Drosophila melanogaster: one gene and its partners. The protein of the gene in region 1 purifies or fractionates together with the protein of each later gene. This does not show direct contact. Each region holds a gene or a part of one and is shown in the gene's direction. Other genes may lie near its edges.

What was found.
Region 2: the proteins of p24-1 (region 1) and CG34205 purify together in Drosophila melanogaster (affinity purification with mass spectrometry, with the first as the bait; one large-scale study listed by BioGRID). This does not show direct contact.
Region 3: the proteins of p24-1 (region 1) and PPO2 purify together in Drosophila melanogaster (affinity purification with mass spectrometry, with the first as the bait; one large-scale study listed by BioGRID). This does not show direct contact.
Region 4: the proteins of p24-1 (region 1) and CG7203 purify together in Drosophila melanogaster (affinity purification with mass spectrometry, with the first as the bait; one large-scale study listed by BioGRID). This does not show direct contact.

Annotation. Positions count from the first base shown.
Region 1 is NC_004354.4:11,850,194-11,854,882, reverse strand, and holds p24-1 (p24-related-1), read left to right. Parts: upstream 1-2,352; 5' UTR 2,353-2,462; intron 2,463-2,543; 5' UTR 2,544-2,620; coding exon 2,621-3,253; 3' UTR 3,254-3,974; downstream 3,975-4,689. Other genes in the region: CG10347 (uncharacterized protein), read left to right, coding at 225-1,482, 1,542-2,026.
Region 2 is NT_033778.4:22,129,067-22,133,178, reverse strand, and holds CG34205 (uncharacterized protein), read left to right. Parts: upstream 1-1,879; 5' UTR 1,880-1,968; coding exon 1,969-2,046; intron 2,047-2,211; coding exon 2,212-2,535; intron 2,536-2,598; coding exon 2,599-2,850; 3' UTR 2,851-3,065; downstream 3,066-4,112. Other genes in the region: NtR, read right to left, coding at 3,066-3,188, 3,249-3,415, 3,488-3,628, 3,694-4,112.
Region 3 is NT_033778.4:9,041,761-9,047,339, reverse strand, and holds PPO2 (prophenoloxidase 2), read left to right. Parts: upstream 1-2,630; 5' UTR 2,631-2,719; coding exon 2,720-3,703; intron 3,704-3,758; coding exon 3,759-3,854; intron 3,855-3,912; coding exon 3,913-4,674; intron 4,675-4,730; coding exon 4,731-4,943; 3' UTR 4,944-5,079; downstream 5,080-5,579. Other genes in the region: CG13743 (uncharacterized protein), read left to right, coding at 592-834; Ance-4, read left to right, coding at 5,253-5,294, 5,529-5,579. UniProt on the Drosophila melanogaster protein: This is a copper-containing oxidase that functions in the formation of pigments such as melanins and other polyphenolic compounds.
Region 4 is NT_033779.5:7,751,332-7,755,234, reverse strand, and holds CG7203 (uncharacterized protein), read left to right. Parts: upstream 1-2,048; 5' UTR 2,049-2,127; coding exon 2,128-2,133; intron 2,134-2,420; coding exon 2,421-2,804; 3' UTR 2,805-3,065; downstream 3,066-3,903.

The DNA of each region.
Region 1 (4,689 bases):
ATTTCAAACTAAAAAAAGGAATCTTATTAGATTTGAAAATTGCCAAGGTATCGTACATATCCCCCACTTGTCGATAAAAAGTCGATACGAGTCACGGCCGAACGGTCATCTGCCATCTCTATCCGGTCTACTACCGATTTGATTTGATTTGTTTTGGAATATCTATCTCTATTTTTTCGAAATCTCCAATATAATCCAACTCAGCATTGGCGCAGTAAAGCAAGATGCCGGTGGTGGAACTGAAAGTGGATCGCAACCTGGTGTGCTCGGACTTTTCTGGCTACAAATTGGCATTCGATTCGGTGCCTGTTCTTCGCCAGGAACTTGGATGTGATGCCTACGTGCTGGATCCGAGCAGCAATCAGTTCTCGCTGCTGCACACGGAGCTCTTTGCCCGACACAATCACCTGGTAGCCGATCCATGGATGCGCCACTGCAGCTACTTCTTTAACAAGCGCCACCAGCTGGTGCAGTGCAACTACGATCTACAGACTGGACGCGCACGTGCCCAGCGCGTTGTCCTCACGGTGGACTATAGGGATCAGGGCGATGGGGAACTACATCGGTCGGGTGACTACAACTACACCATAGTTTTCGTTTCGGAACGATTCTGTGTGATCTGCGACGGTATAACCAGTTACCATCTGGTGGACACCGGCGACAGAACGCGCACCGATGTGCAGGAGTGGCAACGGATTACACGCTCGCCGGTGAATAATAACAGTGGTCATCGCGGCTTTGCACTCTTCGATGCCCGGCTGGATGTGCTGCAGGAACGTAAGCAGATCTCGCTGGTGGCCGGTCATGTGGCACGCCGTGATGCAGTTGGCCAAGATCAGACGCACGTCTATTACATGGACTTGACCTGGGCACGGTGGACTCATTCGCCCACCAATGACGAGTGGTCATATAATATCTGTCAACGGCTGGAGACCACTGGCTCTGTGCACTACTGCGCCTTTGAGCCTCGCGCCGAGTCCCTAGTCATTGCCAGCAACCGCGATGTTCAGACTCCCGAGGAGCGTCGGGCAGCCGATGAAGCAGCCGCTGCCCGCTTGAATTCCTCAGGTGATCACGATGGCCAGCTGGAAAATGGAGGTCCACCTAGTTATAGCTGGTCCCAAACGGATAATAATGTGCTCATTCGTTTCAATGTTCCTTCAACTGCATCCGCTAAAGAGTTTAACGTGAGCGGTTCTAAAACCACTGTCGTTGTAAAGCATCTGGATGAGGTTATATTCGACGAAGAGTTATACGCCAGTGTGGGAGATGATTTAAGTGCATTTAAGTTGGCTGAGAATGGCCTAGAATTGTCACTAACCAAGGCGGAGATTCAGAACTGGCCACGTTTGTTCGCGCAGAAGAAAGATGACGTAGCGGAGGAAGTACATCCAATGGAAGCTCCACCACTGCCCATTCCAAGTCTGCAGGATCCCGTTGAAGAATGTGACTTAATATCCGCTGATGAAGAAATGAAGATGGGTAAGCATTCTATTATACATCTGCTGCATATGCTTAATAAATACATTTTCTTCTTTTAGTACGCTTCAATTTGACCAGCGGGTGCATCACCCACACTATTTTTCTTGGTCCCCCGCCACTGGTGCTCACCACCACGCTGCGTCCTGGCTTTCCAGCCGCCTTTGCTACCCGCCAGGGCGTCGACGCCTCCATATGGCTACAGATGTACCAGCCCAGTCGTCCAGATGAATGGAGTGTCCGCCACGAGGGCCAGCTGCACGCCTTCGGCTACGTGCAGGCCTCCAAGGTTGTGCGGAAATTCACCGTCTGCAGTCCGGATCTGGATTACGTAGCCATATGTGACCCTGTACGCTACGTTCTCGTCTACTTTCCGGCTAATAATTCGGCTGATGGTCTCCGCAGGCGAAACGGACCTCCCGTCACCTTGGGTAAACAAAAGCTCATCACCTTGGGCAACGAGATTGACGAGATTCTGGGCATAACCACGGCAAACAATCTGATCACCGTTCTCTCCAAGAAAGAACTGATACACCTGCAGGTGTAGACGGTGTTCCGCTTTTCTTTTTTTCTCCATTTACTCTTAAAGAATTATGGCTTTACAATTCAAATTCTGAAATGTACATTTTTAAAAAATTAGTACTTTTAAAATTTATAATATAAATATATAAAAAAAATATATATATGTAAATTTTTAATCATATATGTATACAACTATGTTTATTGTTAAAGTTTATTTTTAAGTGCTTAACAATTTTTGATAATGGCGCCAAAGAAAAAAAAAGAGTGGCAACTCTGCTGCTCAGTAGCCGATAGCATATACGTGGGTCCGCAGTGCTGCACAGCGAGTGGCGGAAAAGAGTGTTGACACGTCAGAACCCCAGACCTATCGTGCGGCGAATAACACAAAACGCCGAATGCTGGCGATATCGATAGCATATCACAAATAACAAAAACACGTCACGTAATCCGGACGGAGGCTGGTAAGTAAATGGAATTGGAATGACAGGTGGCATAGCATTTGGCCGGAATCTTGGCACTGACCGAGCGCATTTCTTTTGCAGCTGGAAGAATAACAGGCGGTGAAGCAGGGAATCATACGAATCCAGCAGGGAATACCAAAAAGCAAAAAGGGCGAACCATGAACACACAAATCGTTGTATTTGCGGTAGCTCTGATGATGCACTGCATCTCTGCCGTCGAATTCACCTTCGATCTGGCCGATAACGCGGTGGATTGCTTCTACGAGGAGATCAAGAAGAACTCGAGCGCCTACTTTGAGTTCCAGGTGTCGGCCGGTGGCCAATTGGACGTGGACGTCACCCTGAAGGATCCGCAGGGCAAGGTCATCTACAGTCTGGAGAAGGCCACCTTCGATAGTCATCAGTTCGTTGCCGAGACAACGGGCGTGTATACCGCTTGCTTTGGCAATCAATTCTCGGCCTTCTCGCACAAGATCGTCTACGTGGACTTCCAAGTGGGCGAGGAGCCGGCTCTGCCCGGTGTGGATGAACATGCCACGGTGCTCACACAGATGGAGACATCGTCGCAGGCGATTCACAAGGGCCTCAACGACATCCTGGACGCCCAGACGCATCATCGACTGAGGGAGGCGCAAGGTCGCAAGCGGGCCGAAGATCTCAATCAGCGGGTTATGGTCTGGTCATCCCTGGAGACGGCCGCAGTCATCGTGATCGGTCTCGTCCAGATTATGGTGCTGAGGAACTTCTTTACGGACCGAAAGCCCAGCCAGGCACACTACGGGCGGCTGTAGAGGATCAGGTTTCATTTTGGGATCTAGCTTAGTTCAGAGCCCTCGGATGGAGAGGGTCTCCTCCAATACCCAACTGTCCAAATCCCCCGAAATGTTGTCAATCTCGTCTTAGCCACAACGTATTCATTACCCCCCCCCCCCCTCAAGGGCGTTTCTTTTTCGGGCAAAAAAAACTCCCTAAACGACACATGTAATATTTTTTGTTAAGACCCCTCCCGGTAAAATACATAAAAAGGCCAGAAAATACATTAAAAAAAAACCAGAACTCGATAGCTAAAGGTACTCACAAAGCGTTTCAATAGAAGGGCGTCAATGGGGCATGAATCTCGACCAGAACCAAGGAAATCGAACAACGAATCGAAAACCCCTTTTGACTAGAGCAATATTTCGAGCAGTAAAAGATTCAAGCACTATGGAAATGTATCTTAATTTCAATCTGGACACCAAATCAACTGAAGTTTCATAAGGCAAATCAACATATTCCATTTCAGATGGCGTGGCCGCTATTATACTACATATATATAGCTAAGATCTGTACGTATATATCTTCCAAAATTCAGCTGAGTCAATAGAAAAGAATGTTAGATTAAGTTTCAGTTTCTATAAAGGAAGTTAATATACAGATATGACATCAAATTGAATGGATACAAATTAAAGGAACCACGAATATGATAACTTATAACACGTACCCATCAAGTGGAATAAAAGGGATATCCTTATCAAAAAAAAAAAAAAATTATCATTGATTTTAATTAATGCATTAATCTTGTTCGTGCTATCAATCTTATCAGCATAATAATTATTCGTGGAACATGGTCAACTTTTGAGATACATTTGGGCTTGCAAACTGATAAGAGGATATCACTGTTGTCTGGGTCTTCGCACCTAGTTATATCAAAATGGTATTGATATTATGAAATCCGTACGGATTCGGGGGTTACTAAACGACAATTATGCAAACGAAATTATTGCCACCGCCGCGTTGATGCCACATGGAAATGTAATAAATCTTTTTAACTGCTTTGTGTACGGGCTGTCATCTTTTGTTCGTTGATCTTCATTGGCTGACTTTTGGAATTTCGCAGATCTTTTGTCCATCGCATATATGGCATTGCCAAATAAATATACATATATGACCAGATATCAAATGCGATAAATGGTATGCAAATAGCGCCGTTTGTCTGCCGGCCAATTAATAGTATTTAAATCAGTCCAAGACAATGACAGTTGACACATCGTTGGTAGTAAATTGTTTATTGCCCCATTCGGGCAAAAAGTGCTAAAGCCAAGCAAATTTATATTGTGTATTTGTTAAATGCAGTATCAATGATAAATTCACACACATACAGGGTATGTCCTTTTGTTATCATTTTATCAAAGTGAAGTGTTCAATATTCGAAATATATCCCATTATTAATAGGATTATTCCATACATT
Region 2 (4,112 bases), on another chromosome or scaffold:
AATGGATCGAAAAATAACGCATACGCAGCGTGCGCCGCGAAGAATTCTGCGCTTGCGATCCATTGGGCAATCGCTTTGAATTCTCTCATCCATTCTGTGGCCAGTGGCTAATTAGGCCCGTCATCCAAAATTCGCGGCATTTTGCACCCATTTTGGAGCACACGCCGCCCGATCGCCAAATCCAAATGCGGCTAAAGACTCGCCTCTCGATCGAAGCCATAAAAACCAAGACGAGGATCGATCGGCTGATCGCCTTAAATCGTCATTTAGTATGTGGCAATTTGGCATTCGAGTTTGCCACCCTTCTGATCCACCGACCGATTGCTGGAAAATTGCTTTCCACCTGGCCAAAATGTGGGGCAGTGGCTGGGAAATCTTTTATTTATGAGGACCGGCGACACACCGACCACAACACACAACACCGATCTGTCCGCATCTGTCCGGATCGAATTGGACATGGAACACTTGTTTGGCAGTCGCCGACCACTGGCAACAATTGCTCCTATTGACTTAATATTTGCTAATAGAATTCACATAAATCACATTCCACTGGCATGCATGATTTATGCATGAACTGCGATCGCAGGTGACTCTCTGTCTCTTTTGCGGCGTTTCGTGCTGTCCTTTTCTCATTGTGCTAAGTTTTTTTTCGAGTTTTTTTTACGAGATTTCGGCGTTGAAGTGGTGTTTTCGAGACCTCTTGAGAGGAACTCCACTGAAGTGCTGCAAGTTGCATGCGCTAATCTGAGACATTATGTGCTTTCCAAACTTTAGTTTCTTAACCCTAATATATAAAGCAAGTATTTAAACACGGACTACCTTATTGTCTCAAAAAGTTATGTAAAGTCCACAAAAATATAAATCATTTAAGAAATGAATATATACACCATATCTATACTTAAAGCGAATAAGTGATATAATGATTACTTGAGACACTATTAATCCGTGATAAGGATCACGACGAGCATTCTCAACAATTTGTAGCATTATTAATTTTGTGATGACCCAATGTCACACCTCCGTACCCCCGCACATCCCGTGGGGTTAATCAAGTCGGCCATAAAAAATCCCACGAACTGCCAGATGCTGAACCGGCAATTTCAGCCGGCAAAGTCGATGGATCGATGGCGAGTTGAAGCTGGAGCTGGAGCTGGCGAACTGGGGCCTCCACTCGATCCAAACCCCCTCGCCACGCACGAGTGTCCTCGAGACGAGACGGCGTGGCTGCGGCTGAAATCACCCATCCAATATGGTCAAATGTGGCACGCAGCGGCATTCGAGGCACGATAAAGATAAATATGAAGCTCGCCTAGATATTTCGGCCAGAGGGGATTGCTGCTTGGTGTTTGGTTTTGGCGTTTGCCGATTTGGCAAGCGTTCATTATGCAATTTGGAGAGAATTTCCCAGCGCCACGCCGAGAATTGTTTCGAGAATACTCAAACATAGCAACGAAAACAATTAGACGGCATTCTACGTTGGCTAATTAAGTTGTTAGTGGCAAGGCTGCGTGCTTTCGAGGGGCGTGTCACCTGGCGCGTTGCCCAAATTGGCCAGCTAATCAGCGATTTCAATTAGCGTGCGCTTTCCAAATGCGAGCCACAATGGCACCCCCAGTGTAAAGACCGCCTTTCCTGCGGCGACTCCTTAGCCGGCAAGTGGTCTGCCTTCGGTTCGGAGCTCCCAACTCCCAGCTCCAGTTCAGGTTGCGTCATCCGCGTTTGGGGGCTCTCCAATCCGAGCTGCGTCTACGAGAATTGCAGTTTCACTGCAGCCGAGATACTTCACAAATTGGTGCTGCTTGGCCCGCTTTGTTGACTGCTGTCTGCTGACTGTTTGTCCGTCCGAGGCTCAGATCGAAATCTAGTCAAGATCTGTCCGCTCGACCACCTGTCCTCCGGTCCGCAGTTCGCAGTCCGCTCGAGAGTGCGAGTGCGTGGTCTGCCGTCGAGGGGTATAAAAGTAACGCAATGCACACGTCCACTTACAGTTGCAATTCTCCCTCCAAGCCAAGTGATTCGTTATCCAGCGCTAGCATGAAACTTCTGGTGAGTGGAAAGGGTTGGAAAGGATGCGGCCTAGGATCAGTATTATCACTTTAAGCCAATAATACTGACTGCAAAGGATATCTTCATACAAGGATTACCTCGATCTTATATTCACTAGATCAAAAAGATTAACATCAAAGTTTGGTTTTCCATTTACCTCGCCAGATCCTTACCTCTCTGCTGGCTGTGGCCACTGCTGCTCCTGGACTCCTTGATTATGGACACTCGGCTCCGGACTACAGCTACGCCCATGCCGCTCCTGCCATAACATATGCAGCTGCAGCTCCAGTCATCAAGTCCTACGCTGCCCCAGCCATCACCTATGCGGCTCCAGCTCCGGTGATCAAGTCCTATGCCGCTCCAGCCATCAGCTACGCCCATGCCGCTCCTGCCATCAGCTACGCCGCTCCCACGGTGGTCAAGTCCTATGCTGCTCCTGTGGCGGTCAAGGTGGCAGCTCCAGCCACCAGCTACTCGCACTTCAGCTCGGTAAGATCTGGATATACTCTGATATTTTCCCATTTAATCTTACAATCTACTTTGCATGCACAGGTTGTTTCCCATGCCACGCCCATTGTTAAGTCGTACGCTGCGCCTGCCATCGCCTATGCTGCTCCAGCTCCGGTGATCAAGTCCTATGCCGCTCCAGCCATCAGTTACGCCCATGCCGCTCCAGCCATCAGCTACGCTGCTCCCACGGTGGTCAAGTCATATGCGGCTCCAGCCATCAGCTACGCAGCTCCTGCCCTGGTTAAGTCATACGCTGCACCTGCCCTGTCCCTGGGTGGATACGGTTACCACTAAGCTCCGATACCAAAACACTCCAAATCCAAATCGATCCCGGATCGGAGTTGGAACAATGGCAGCAATTAACTGCGAGGAGTCGCAACAGCCCAGCACGCTCTCCCACTTTTTCAACTTGTAGTCGCAAAATCTTCACAATCTTCTCTGTTTACTTCTTATTTATTTAAGAACCATTAATATTCTCTCAAATGCACAATAAAGAAAAATTCTGTTTTTCAAAACCCACTCGTAATATCTACGATGGCAAAGGTTATAATGACCAAGATTGAACTCAGGTTGTTCAGGATCTTGGCCATATGGTGCCAGGGATTCTCCTGAATGTCGCAATAGTCGGTAGACTGTAGGAATATAGTGAATTGCAATACGTATATGTGTTCAATAGGGGCTTAACTACTCACATCCGAAAATCTCAATCCCAGAATGCATCGCAGAACATTGGAGTTAATCACCCTAACCAGCCAGCCAGGAGCCTTCGATCTGGGTGGATATAGATCCAGCCATATAATGCAGATGTGCAGAATGTAGCAATAGGTGGTGGTCATCATGATGACTTTATATGCAGTCACTGTAGGAAAAGTGAAAATTTGAATTTGAAAATTATACACAGTGAGTTTTAGTTAATTGATTTAAAACTTACTCATGGGCGGCACATAATGCGGAGAGGCGTAGCGCGTCATGTACATTAAACCCCAGGCGGCAATCAGCAAGGCGATGAGAATGAGGGAACTCCTACGAGTAGAACGCAGTACAAAGGACAAAATCAGGAACATCTGGCAGGCTGAAAGAATATATTGTAGTTATATGTTATTCCATAACAAGAAATCAAACACATTTTCATATTACCAATCAACGGCAAATAGAAGACGGTCATGTAGAAGCTCCGATTCCTTTGCAGCGTGAACTCAATTGCCACATCGCCGGTCATTTTCTGCATCATTCCCTTGGGGTTGTATCGCCTTTGCGAATCGTTCTCCACCAGCACCACGGACATTTGCGTGAACGACCAGCCGGATGGCGTGTTCACGTGCTCATTGGGCGCAATCGGCTTGCGCTGATCATCGTAGATTAGCGCCACATTCTCCTGCCCCTCCTGGCCATTGAGACCCAGCTCGATGTCGCAAGTCACTCGCTCGCTTGGCCAGTTTCGGGCACTGTCCACACACCAACTGGCCAGCTGGAGGTTTTGAGCGTACAGGGTGATGCTTCCGTTGGCGTAGACCATCAGCTCATAGGATTGGAGGACCTGACCCATGGATTGCAGG
Region 3 (5,579 bases), on another chromosome or scaffold:
GCTTACTTGTGTTTTAGTTTAATCACAATCAGCAAGAGTTTACCCAAAACCTTTTTTAATGTACAAATTAATCATTTATGTTCCTAGTTTCCGAAAGAACACATTTCTTATCATTTATAATGCTCAGACCATTTATCATCGAGATAACTTCGACTAAGCAATTTGCAAACTTAAAGATTATTTATTACGGTTTTCGTTTGCATTTATTTCCGAGTGAATATTTGGCCTAGATGAAAGAGAATAAATTCCAATTCCCAAAGTCCATATATTCAAGTAGAAAGCTATGCAACAAAGAATCCACCAAATGCTTCATTAAATACATCTGAGACTAATTCCGATTTCACCATTCACATTTGCCAGACCAAAGGGAGAACCGTATGGCCAAGTTTATTATTATCGTCCGTAGCCATTTGCCCCTTGTATTCCAGTCACGGGTATTGGCCACAACGCCAATCCCAAACGGCATCTACAAATTCTGGCCGGAACCCGTCTTTGTATTTGCCATGCAAATTTATGCCCCACCCATCAGCCAGCCCATCAGAACATCAGCCCGTCAGCCCATCAGTACATTCAACAATCCACCCATTTCAGGGTCTCCTGGCGGCCATTCCCCTGGCCTACATCCTGCCCGGCCTGGCCTACATTCAGATGGAGCCGCACGCCCTGCTCAGCCGGGAGAAGCTGCCCGCTCTGGGCCTGGTGGTCTTCGGAGCCCTGGTGACCATCTTGGGGGCGGCGGTGCTCCTGCCGGGTCTAATGGGCGGCGACTGCCGATCGGACATTGTGATGGGTTACTGCCGGCAGGAGTTTCAGAACACCACCTCCTCGAACTAAGTTAACGGAACGGAAGTCAGCCCACGATGTGGGGCGCGCGGGTTGGGATCGCATTTTTATGGTTTGGGTTTTTGGGTTGAAACTTCTGATTTGACCTTCGGTTAATACAGCTGCACCACGTCGCATCGAAAGAAACTTGTACCTGAGTCCCAGACGTTCAAAGTATCTGCGTAAGTAAGTAGTAGGCACAGTGTTGAATTGGATTAGTGGATAGCGGATAGCGGATGTGTGATACGGGCGAACCTCAGTACAAAGGCCAGGCATTCTCTCCGATCGAGTAACCCATGTATATTTGCACCGGATAGTCGTTTAAAGTGTACATTTCGTTGGATCCCCGTTGTTGATGTCGATATTGTTGAAAGTAGTGAAAGTTCCTCGATATATAAGTGTGTGTGTACTCCGTACTCTGTACTTTGAAGCCATCAAGTTGAGCAAGCGATTTGAATTGAATTGAATCGAAAGAAACGAGCAAAGGCAAACTAAACCGAACTAGAACTAGATGTTATCCGTAGCTTTAGCGTAGTCTGAAACTATTTGGGCACCAATATACACATGCAATCCTTAGAGACAACCGACTCCCCAAGTTGAGAAGTGAATCAAAATCGAAAACGAAATCGAACAAGTATTATATGTATGTACCGAGAACTATTTGTAACTATGTATGCCCCGACGTTACCGGATCGTATTCCCCAGTTTTATATGTATGTATATGTATACAAGGGTAGATAAAAATGCGCTTGAACCGAACTAAAATCAAACTACAATATATCCCCATCAACACATCGATTTGAACAACAGTTTTGAGTTGTTAACGGCACTGAATTCTGTTTTGAATTGCATATGTACACCGAACACGATCGAATATTTATATATACAGAAACATAGATATATTTTTGTACAACTCTTGGTTTATACTGCACGATATTATGTAAATACATGTGTATGCATTTTTGGATGTGATTAAAGTCTTTACACTCACACAAAAGCCATCACCTCTTACTTTCTCTTCGGGCTGAGAGATCGGAACCAAGCTGAAGACCCCACAACTCTATATTCTAAGAGCTTAAACACTACATATCATGGCCAAGGAACACGGGACATGCCCAGGGCTTTTCTGAGATACATTTTACAAGATCTAAACAACTAACCAACTGAACCTATCGCTTTTACACAACGAATACGAGAACGGAAACGGAAACAGCAGCATACAATTTCCACAGACTTCCTGTATATACACGCTATATATATGTAGATCCGCTTGTCGTACGATATTGCTCATCTCTTCACTCGCCAAATATCTCGTTGTATCTCTCTTTTTAGCGCTATGCTAAATAAATATATGTATTGTATATCAAAGCAGTAGTAGGGAATTAGGGACGAATTGATCGATTATAGCCGAATTGTAATAACTATTATTGCCGTATTATGCATGTAGCTACATATATATACATACTATTATATTAAATTGTTTAGATGTGATGCTATCTGACCGGAGGATCGTGTGCGTAGAGAAGTTTTGATTTACAACGCAGGCATATCCCAGAGATAACAAAATCCGATTTCATTCCAATAGTATATATGTATAGATAAGCTAAAGCAAAACCAAATGAAATACTCTTGAAATAATAAAACTGCATTTTAGAAATATGCTAAAACAACACTGCGGTTTCCATACTATATCCTTATCGCCGCAATTTGTCGACAATTTCAATTCTCAGGCGTTCTTGTGGTTTTCAAAACCGATACTAGTGCCTTCGAAGTTTTGTATAAAATGTGCAGTTCTTTCGGTGAATAGTCACAGTCGTGAAGTTCCCAGACTTCCAGTCACATTCCCCATTTAGTTTGCTCCGCGATCCAGCAGGTCCTCCCTGACATCCCATTGAAAATGGCCGACAAGAAGAATCTCCTCCTGCTTTTCGACCATCCCACCGAGCCAGTGTTCATGGACAAGGGCAAGAGGGTGACCGTGTTCGATGTGCCCGACTCCTTCCTGACCGACCGCTACCGACCCATCAGCAACGAGGTGCAGAGCCGCGTCGGCGACAAGGTGGAGCAGCGCGTTCCAGTCCGGGAGATCTCCATTCCCGATCTGCGGATCCCCATGTCCCTGGGCCGGGACGAGCAGTTCTCGCTGTTCCTGCCCAAGCACCGCAGGATCGCCGGCCGCCTGATCGATATATTCATGAACATGCGCTCCGTGGACGACCTGCAGAGCGTGGCGGTGTACGCCAGGGATCGGGTCAACCCGGTGCTCTTCAACTACGCCTTGTCGGTGGCGCTGCTCCATCGTCCGGACACCCAGGGCCTGGATCTGCCATCCTTCTCGCAGACTTTCCCCGACCGCTTCATCGACTCGCAGGTGATCCGCAAGATGCGGGAGGAGTCTTTTGTGGTGCAGCCCGGTTCCCGGATGCCCATCACCATTCCCAGGGACTACACCGCCTCCGATCTGGATCCCGAGCACCGGCTGTGGTACTTCCGCGAGGATCTGGGCATCAACCTTCACCACTGGCATTGGCATCTGGTCTACCCCTTCGAGGCCTCCGACCGCAGCATAGTGGCCAAGGATCGTCGTGGCGAGCTCTTCTACTACATGCACCAGCAGGTGATCGCCCGCTACAATGCGGAGCGGTTCAGCAACAACCTGGCCAGGGTTCTGCCCTTCAACAACCTGAGGGATCCCATTGCCGAGGGCTACTTCCCCAAGATGGACTCTCTGGTAGCCAGCCGCGCGTGGCCACCGCGCTTCGAGAGCACCAGGTTGAGCGATCTCAACCGGGAGTCCGACCAGCTGAATGTGGAGATTGGAGATCTGGAGCGTTGGCGTGATCGCATCTACGAGGCCATTCACCAAGGATTTGTCATGGATGTGAGTTGTTGGTGGGTTTTCCATTAACTAAATAACATGCCATATTCCCTTTCAGGAGCGTGGCAACCGGGTGCCATTGGATGAGGCGACGGGCATTGATACCCTCGGCAACATGATTGAATCATCCATTCTGTCGCCCAACCGAGTGCTGGTAATAAGTCCTTACCCTTAGTAAATTATTCTAGGGATTAATCCTATTGCTCCCCTAGTATGGTGACCTGCACAACAACGGACACACCTTCATCTCGTACGCCCACGATCCGACCAGCAAGCACCTGGAGTCCTTTGGCGTGATGGGTGATGTGTCCACGGCCATGCGCGACCCGGTCTTCTACAAGTGGCACTCGTACATCGACCGCATCTTCCAGGAGCACAAGTCGCGCCTGCCCGCCTATACCGAGAACCAACTAAACTACCCGGGCGTCTCGATCGCGGGCATCCAGGTGGACACCAATGGAGGTCGTCCCAATAATCTGACCACCTTCTGGCAGCAGTCGGACGTGGACATGTCCCGTGGCTTCGACTTCCTGCCGCGAGGTAATGTCTTCGCCAGGTTCACCCACCTGCAGCATCTGCCCTTCACCTATACCATCAGTTTGAACAACGATAGTGGTGCCCAGCGTTTCGGCTACGTGCGCATCTTCATGGCGCCGAAGAACGACGAGCGTGGCCAGCCCATGCTGATGCGAGATCAGCGCTCCATGATGATCGAGCTGGACAAGTTCGTGACTTCGCTGAACCCGGGACCCAACACCATCCGCCGCCGCTCCACGGAGTCGAGCGTGACCATTCCGTTCGAGCGCACCTTCCGCAACCTGGATGCCAATCGTCCGGCGGCCGGCACTCCGGAGGAGCTGGAGTTCAACTTCTGCGGCTGCGGCTGGCCCAACCACATGCTGGTGCCAAAGGGTCTGCCCGAGGGACTGCAGTGCGTGCTGTTCATCATGGTGTCGAACTATGAGAACGACAGGGTATGTTAGCTGGCTAGTAAATCAAGGATATTTTTGACAATTATCTCCACCTCCAGATTGACCAGCAATTGGTGGGTCGGTGCAGCGATGCCGCTTCCTACTGTGGCGTCCGTGACCGTCTTTACCCGGATCGCCAGTCCATGGGATTCCCCTTCGACAGGTTGCCCCGCAGCGGAGTCGACCGCCTGGTTAACTTCCTCACGCCCAACATGAGCATCGTGGACGTGAACATCCGCCACGAGAACCGCACCGTGCAGCGCCCAAACTAGACGATCCGCACCTGATTCGCTTTCCCGATTCGCCCTGACCCGATTCCATGACCTCGCCCACTTCTAGATATACAACTCTTAGCAATCTATTGCATCTTTATTGAGCCGCTTAATAAACAAGACATCATGGCATTCCACAATCCCACTTTTGTTCTCAATTATTGTGGCTCGGCCTCCGGGCGAGAATCTCTCGCTGATTAGGCTTATCAGCCGCCCGGGAGAAGCTTTAAATGCCAGCTCCACGGCCGGAGCACCTCAGTTCGAGCAGATCCGGTGTTGAGTGCGAAAGTGAAACCGATTCCCGAGGAGATGGGCCTGCTGCTGCTTCTGGTGCTGATAGCGGGCATTGGCGTAAGCACTGTACCGATTAAATAATCTATGGGTCCACAAAGATCCCACAAAAAGATGTGGTCTTTAGATAACTTTAAATCATAATTTTGCGTGTTTGAAATATGTTTCATTTAGATGCGTGTCAGTTTCTATATAGTTTGAGGATACTTAGAAGACCTAGACTAAACTAAGCCTGTAATAGCAATAATATTGTAAGTGAATTTGCTGCTTTTAATTGATTGTCATTTATTTTAGTGCGCAACTGCAGCAGCCAACATTGACCTGGAGGCCAAGACGTTTGTGAAT
Region 4 (3,903 bases), on another chromosome or scaffold:
TCATTTGCATTCGAGAAGTTGGAGCCATCTATCAAAGACTTCGTTAGCATCGCGTGACTGAATGTTGTCCGGAAATTAGAACCACCCACTCAAGCCGAAGAAGATTTTTTTTTGACAAGTTTGGGCAGCAGGATTAGTTTATGGATTAGTGATAAATAATCTTATCAGACGATGTGATGCAATTGAGTGCGAATATTTCCCCATCGCACATTTAATTGGCATGGAAATATTTCTGGGTGTGGCAGGCCAATACTTTATGTGTAAGTCTGACAATTTGATGGATGCAATAAAATATTATGGCTGCGGCTGTGGCAAAGAATCTTAATTGAATGGCAGCGCGCTGCATTGGAGCCAATCGGTGTCAGAGTCACCGAACCAACCAATTGGCCAACTCGAGTGCACAGGAGAAAAGCAGCTAATTTTGGAAAGGAGTTTTGTGTTGTTAAGGTATAAATTTGTATTTCAAGATTAAATTCAAAAGATTTTTTTTGATTCCGAATCCTATTCACTTGATGCAAAATCCTTTTTTGATTTACCTACAATTACTAAGTATTCCTCTCAGTGTAGCCATAAACAGCACGAAAAGCACTTGACGGCAATGAATTCTGACACACGTGTGCCAACCACTCAAACTTCCCCACCGCCCACCTGGCTGGTGGTTCGACCCTCAATGTTCTCTACTCACGCAACAATGACATCGGGATCCTCCCACCACTTCTTGTTGGAAGGCTGCAGCAGCAGGCTGACCTGTCGCCAGTGGTTCTTGTGCACCACCTTTGGATGAACATAAAAGTTGGAGATTAATGCTCATTTTATGGACTGTATTCCGGCAGTGGTTACCTTATACTTTTTGGGATCGTATGCATTGTGATCTTTCTCCGTAAACACCAGGCGTGCCATTTTAAAGCCTCCGAATCCTTTCTAGAACCAAGCCTGATTCTGCTTCTCAGTGGGAGTTCTTTACATCAAGTATAGTACTCGAAAATATAAAGTATGCTTGCTTGAAACGGAATTAGTTATTTGTGTATACTGACTGAAGATTTTGCTTTGACAAAAGCTTTAATTGACTGTTAAATGAAAGATATAGTGTTGTTAAATTTTTAATTTCACAAAAATTTACCCTAAAATGTACAGCTCTTACTTAGAAAAAATTAAACGTATGACAATCTCTACTGATATTCAAATGTTTTGTAATTTATTACGTAGAATTGCTTTCCGACTTAAAAGCGAAAGTGGTTTGATTTACTTATCGTTTCTTAATGGAATCAATAAATATGTTCTATATATACAATTACGGATTACTCTACAAAAGGGGGTATAACTTAACATATATTAAATTATAAACCATTATTTTATATTTAAATACCAAATAAAATTTACAAAATTTAATTTTCATATTTTAAGGATTGGTAATATTTGTAGTGAAATCGTTTCCTACATATGGACTCTGATTTTTATATGGTATTCCTGGACATATGTTGGCGTTGACTGCATTAGTGATATGCAAATGCAATCGAGAAATCTATAGTCGGTGACCAAAATGGATCAGTTTGCCGACAACTGGCGGCCGGCACATTAATTTCAGGGCGAGCTAACCGAAGTGAATTTAATTACATTCTGCTGATGAAATTTAAATGGACAGCCAGTGGTGCTGAATGTGTGTGGGGCGATGGTGGTACAGAGGCACAGTGGTGCTGCGGTGGCTTGTAATTTGCCTATCCATTGTTGTTAGGGGCACCCGAGACATGGCTTTAGTGTATATCATATACAGATATTGAAGTCATGGTTATGGATTGGCCGAATCAAATGAGACCAGTCTTGTTTTCGTCATGTCAACCGGTGTGGCTAATTGTCGCGCACTTGAATTGTCGTCAATGAATTGTGGTTATTGATTCGGGAAGGTCAAGGGGTTCGGGTTGGGGTTGGGGTTGGGACTGAAGGTATTACGTGGTTTGTTCTCTGGCCCGGTTTCCGCATTTGTGCAGCAAACATACACATGGCTGATCAATCCGAGAACTGGCCTTATATGCTAAATGAAATTATGGATCGGAGCTATAAAAGCACTTGGCCAACGGGCAGATGTCAGTTAGTTTCGTTTCAAGCGTCACTGAGATCACAAAAGCCAACATGAAGGTGAGATTGAAGGGATATCGGATAACTGGAGCTTAGTTACAGCTAGTGTTATGTAAAAGGACAACATGAAGGGATTTATGTTGTTTTTAGTAAAACATTTCTATACAAATTGGTATGCTGCAAAAGTAGACATAAAAGATCTTTATCGAGTTATACATAAATTAATATCAGATCGCTGAACACATTACGACCCCATTCAGAGAAACTCCAAAATTAAAAAAACTTCAAATAAGTTATTTTTATCATAGTTCCTGAGTTTCCATCTAAATCAAGATTCTTATTTTCAGTTCGCCGTTGTCGTAGTCCTGTTCGCTTTGGCCTGGGGTGTCAACAGCTCGGTGGTGCCTCTCCTGACCTCCGCCCATGGTCTGGTGGTCGGTTCTCCCGCCGTCGCCGGTTCGGTGGCCATCCAGGCATCTGCGGTTCCCGCTGCCGTTCCCCTGTCCCTGTCCCCAGCCGGACCCGTGCTCATCCAGTCTGGACCAGCGGTGGTTGCCGCTCCCGTTCCCGCCGCTGTGGTTGCTGCCCACGCCCCCGCCGTGGTGGCCGTCGCCGCTCCGGAGGCCAGCTATGTGGCCAAGACCCGTGGAGCTGTCCATGTGGCTCCTCTGCCAGGACATGTGCAGTCCGCTGCTTCCGTGAACTTGGAACCCGCACCAGGCACCTGGTAATCACCTGAAATGACTTCTGGATTACCCCTACATTGATCCTGACCGCCACTTGCTCGCATCTTTACCACATTTTTTGGTTTTTTAAGTTACCGAAAGGTCTGTCCTCTGCTGAGATCCCGTTGGGTTCTCATTTCTTCAGCAATCTAAGTCAATCCTATCCAGTCTATCGCTTTCCGCTTTACTCTCTGGTCTATATTTATCCACCCCGCTGTTGTCACATGGAAATTTGTTTCTTTTTGAATAAAAAAATGTTATTAAAACAGTTGAAAGGCGTTTTAGTTACGGTTGCTAGCGCTTAAGTAACTATTTATATGCCATTAGCAGATGTATCTAGATCGTGGTCCCAGAATATTTATTTCAAATAATTTTTACGCAATTACCAGGGGATCGACTCACCTTTTTTAACGGCAATTAGAAGCCACACCCTTAGCCCAACTCCCACGCCTTCAAGTGCAGCAAACATTGGACAGCTAAATGGCTTAAAACAATCTCGATCGATGGCCGATTACCGATGCCAGTAATTAATCAATTCCGGGGCCTCAGACCGGCGCTACAGCAGGGGCGTTGACAAAAAGCCGCTCCAGAAATGAGACGCAGTTGCTCGGCAGCTGGACAACTTTGTTGCCAACTCATAGTACAAACTGCCGTCGAACCGAACTGGTCTTTGAACTGAAAACGAGAGTACTACTCGATCTGGAGCAGGGGCGGTTTGCCTTGATCGCCGCACACTCGCACTTGCAATTATTAATAGAAAAATGTGCACAAACTTGATATGGCCGCGATGAAGTTAAGTAATGCCCATGCAAAGTAATGCGGTTCAGATCAAATCCGCCTTAACGCCCACTGCAGACCCCTGAAACCCGTTAGGCGATGATCCCGATTCCGATGGGATATATAGGACTATATGCTGTTATATCTAGTGAAATATATGAATAGTAAATTGCAATTTATATTAAATATTAATAATTTCAGTATGCCAAAAATATAGTTGAACTTTCTTCTTTGCACTTCCAGCGGCTGAGTAAGGAGTAACTGATAGTTGAGGAAATCGACTCAAGCGTTCTTTCTTATGTCTATATATTTTTTTATAAGACATTTA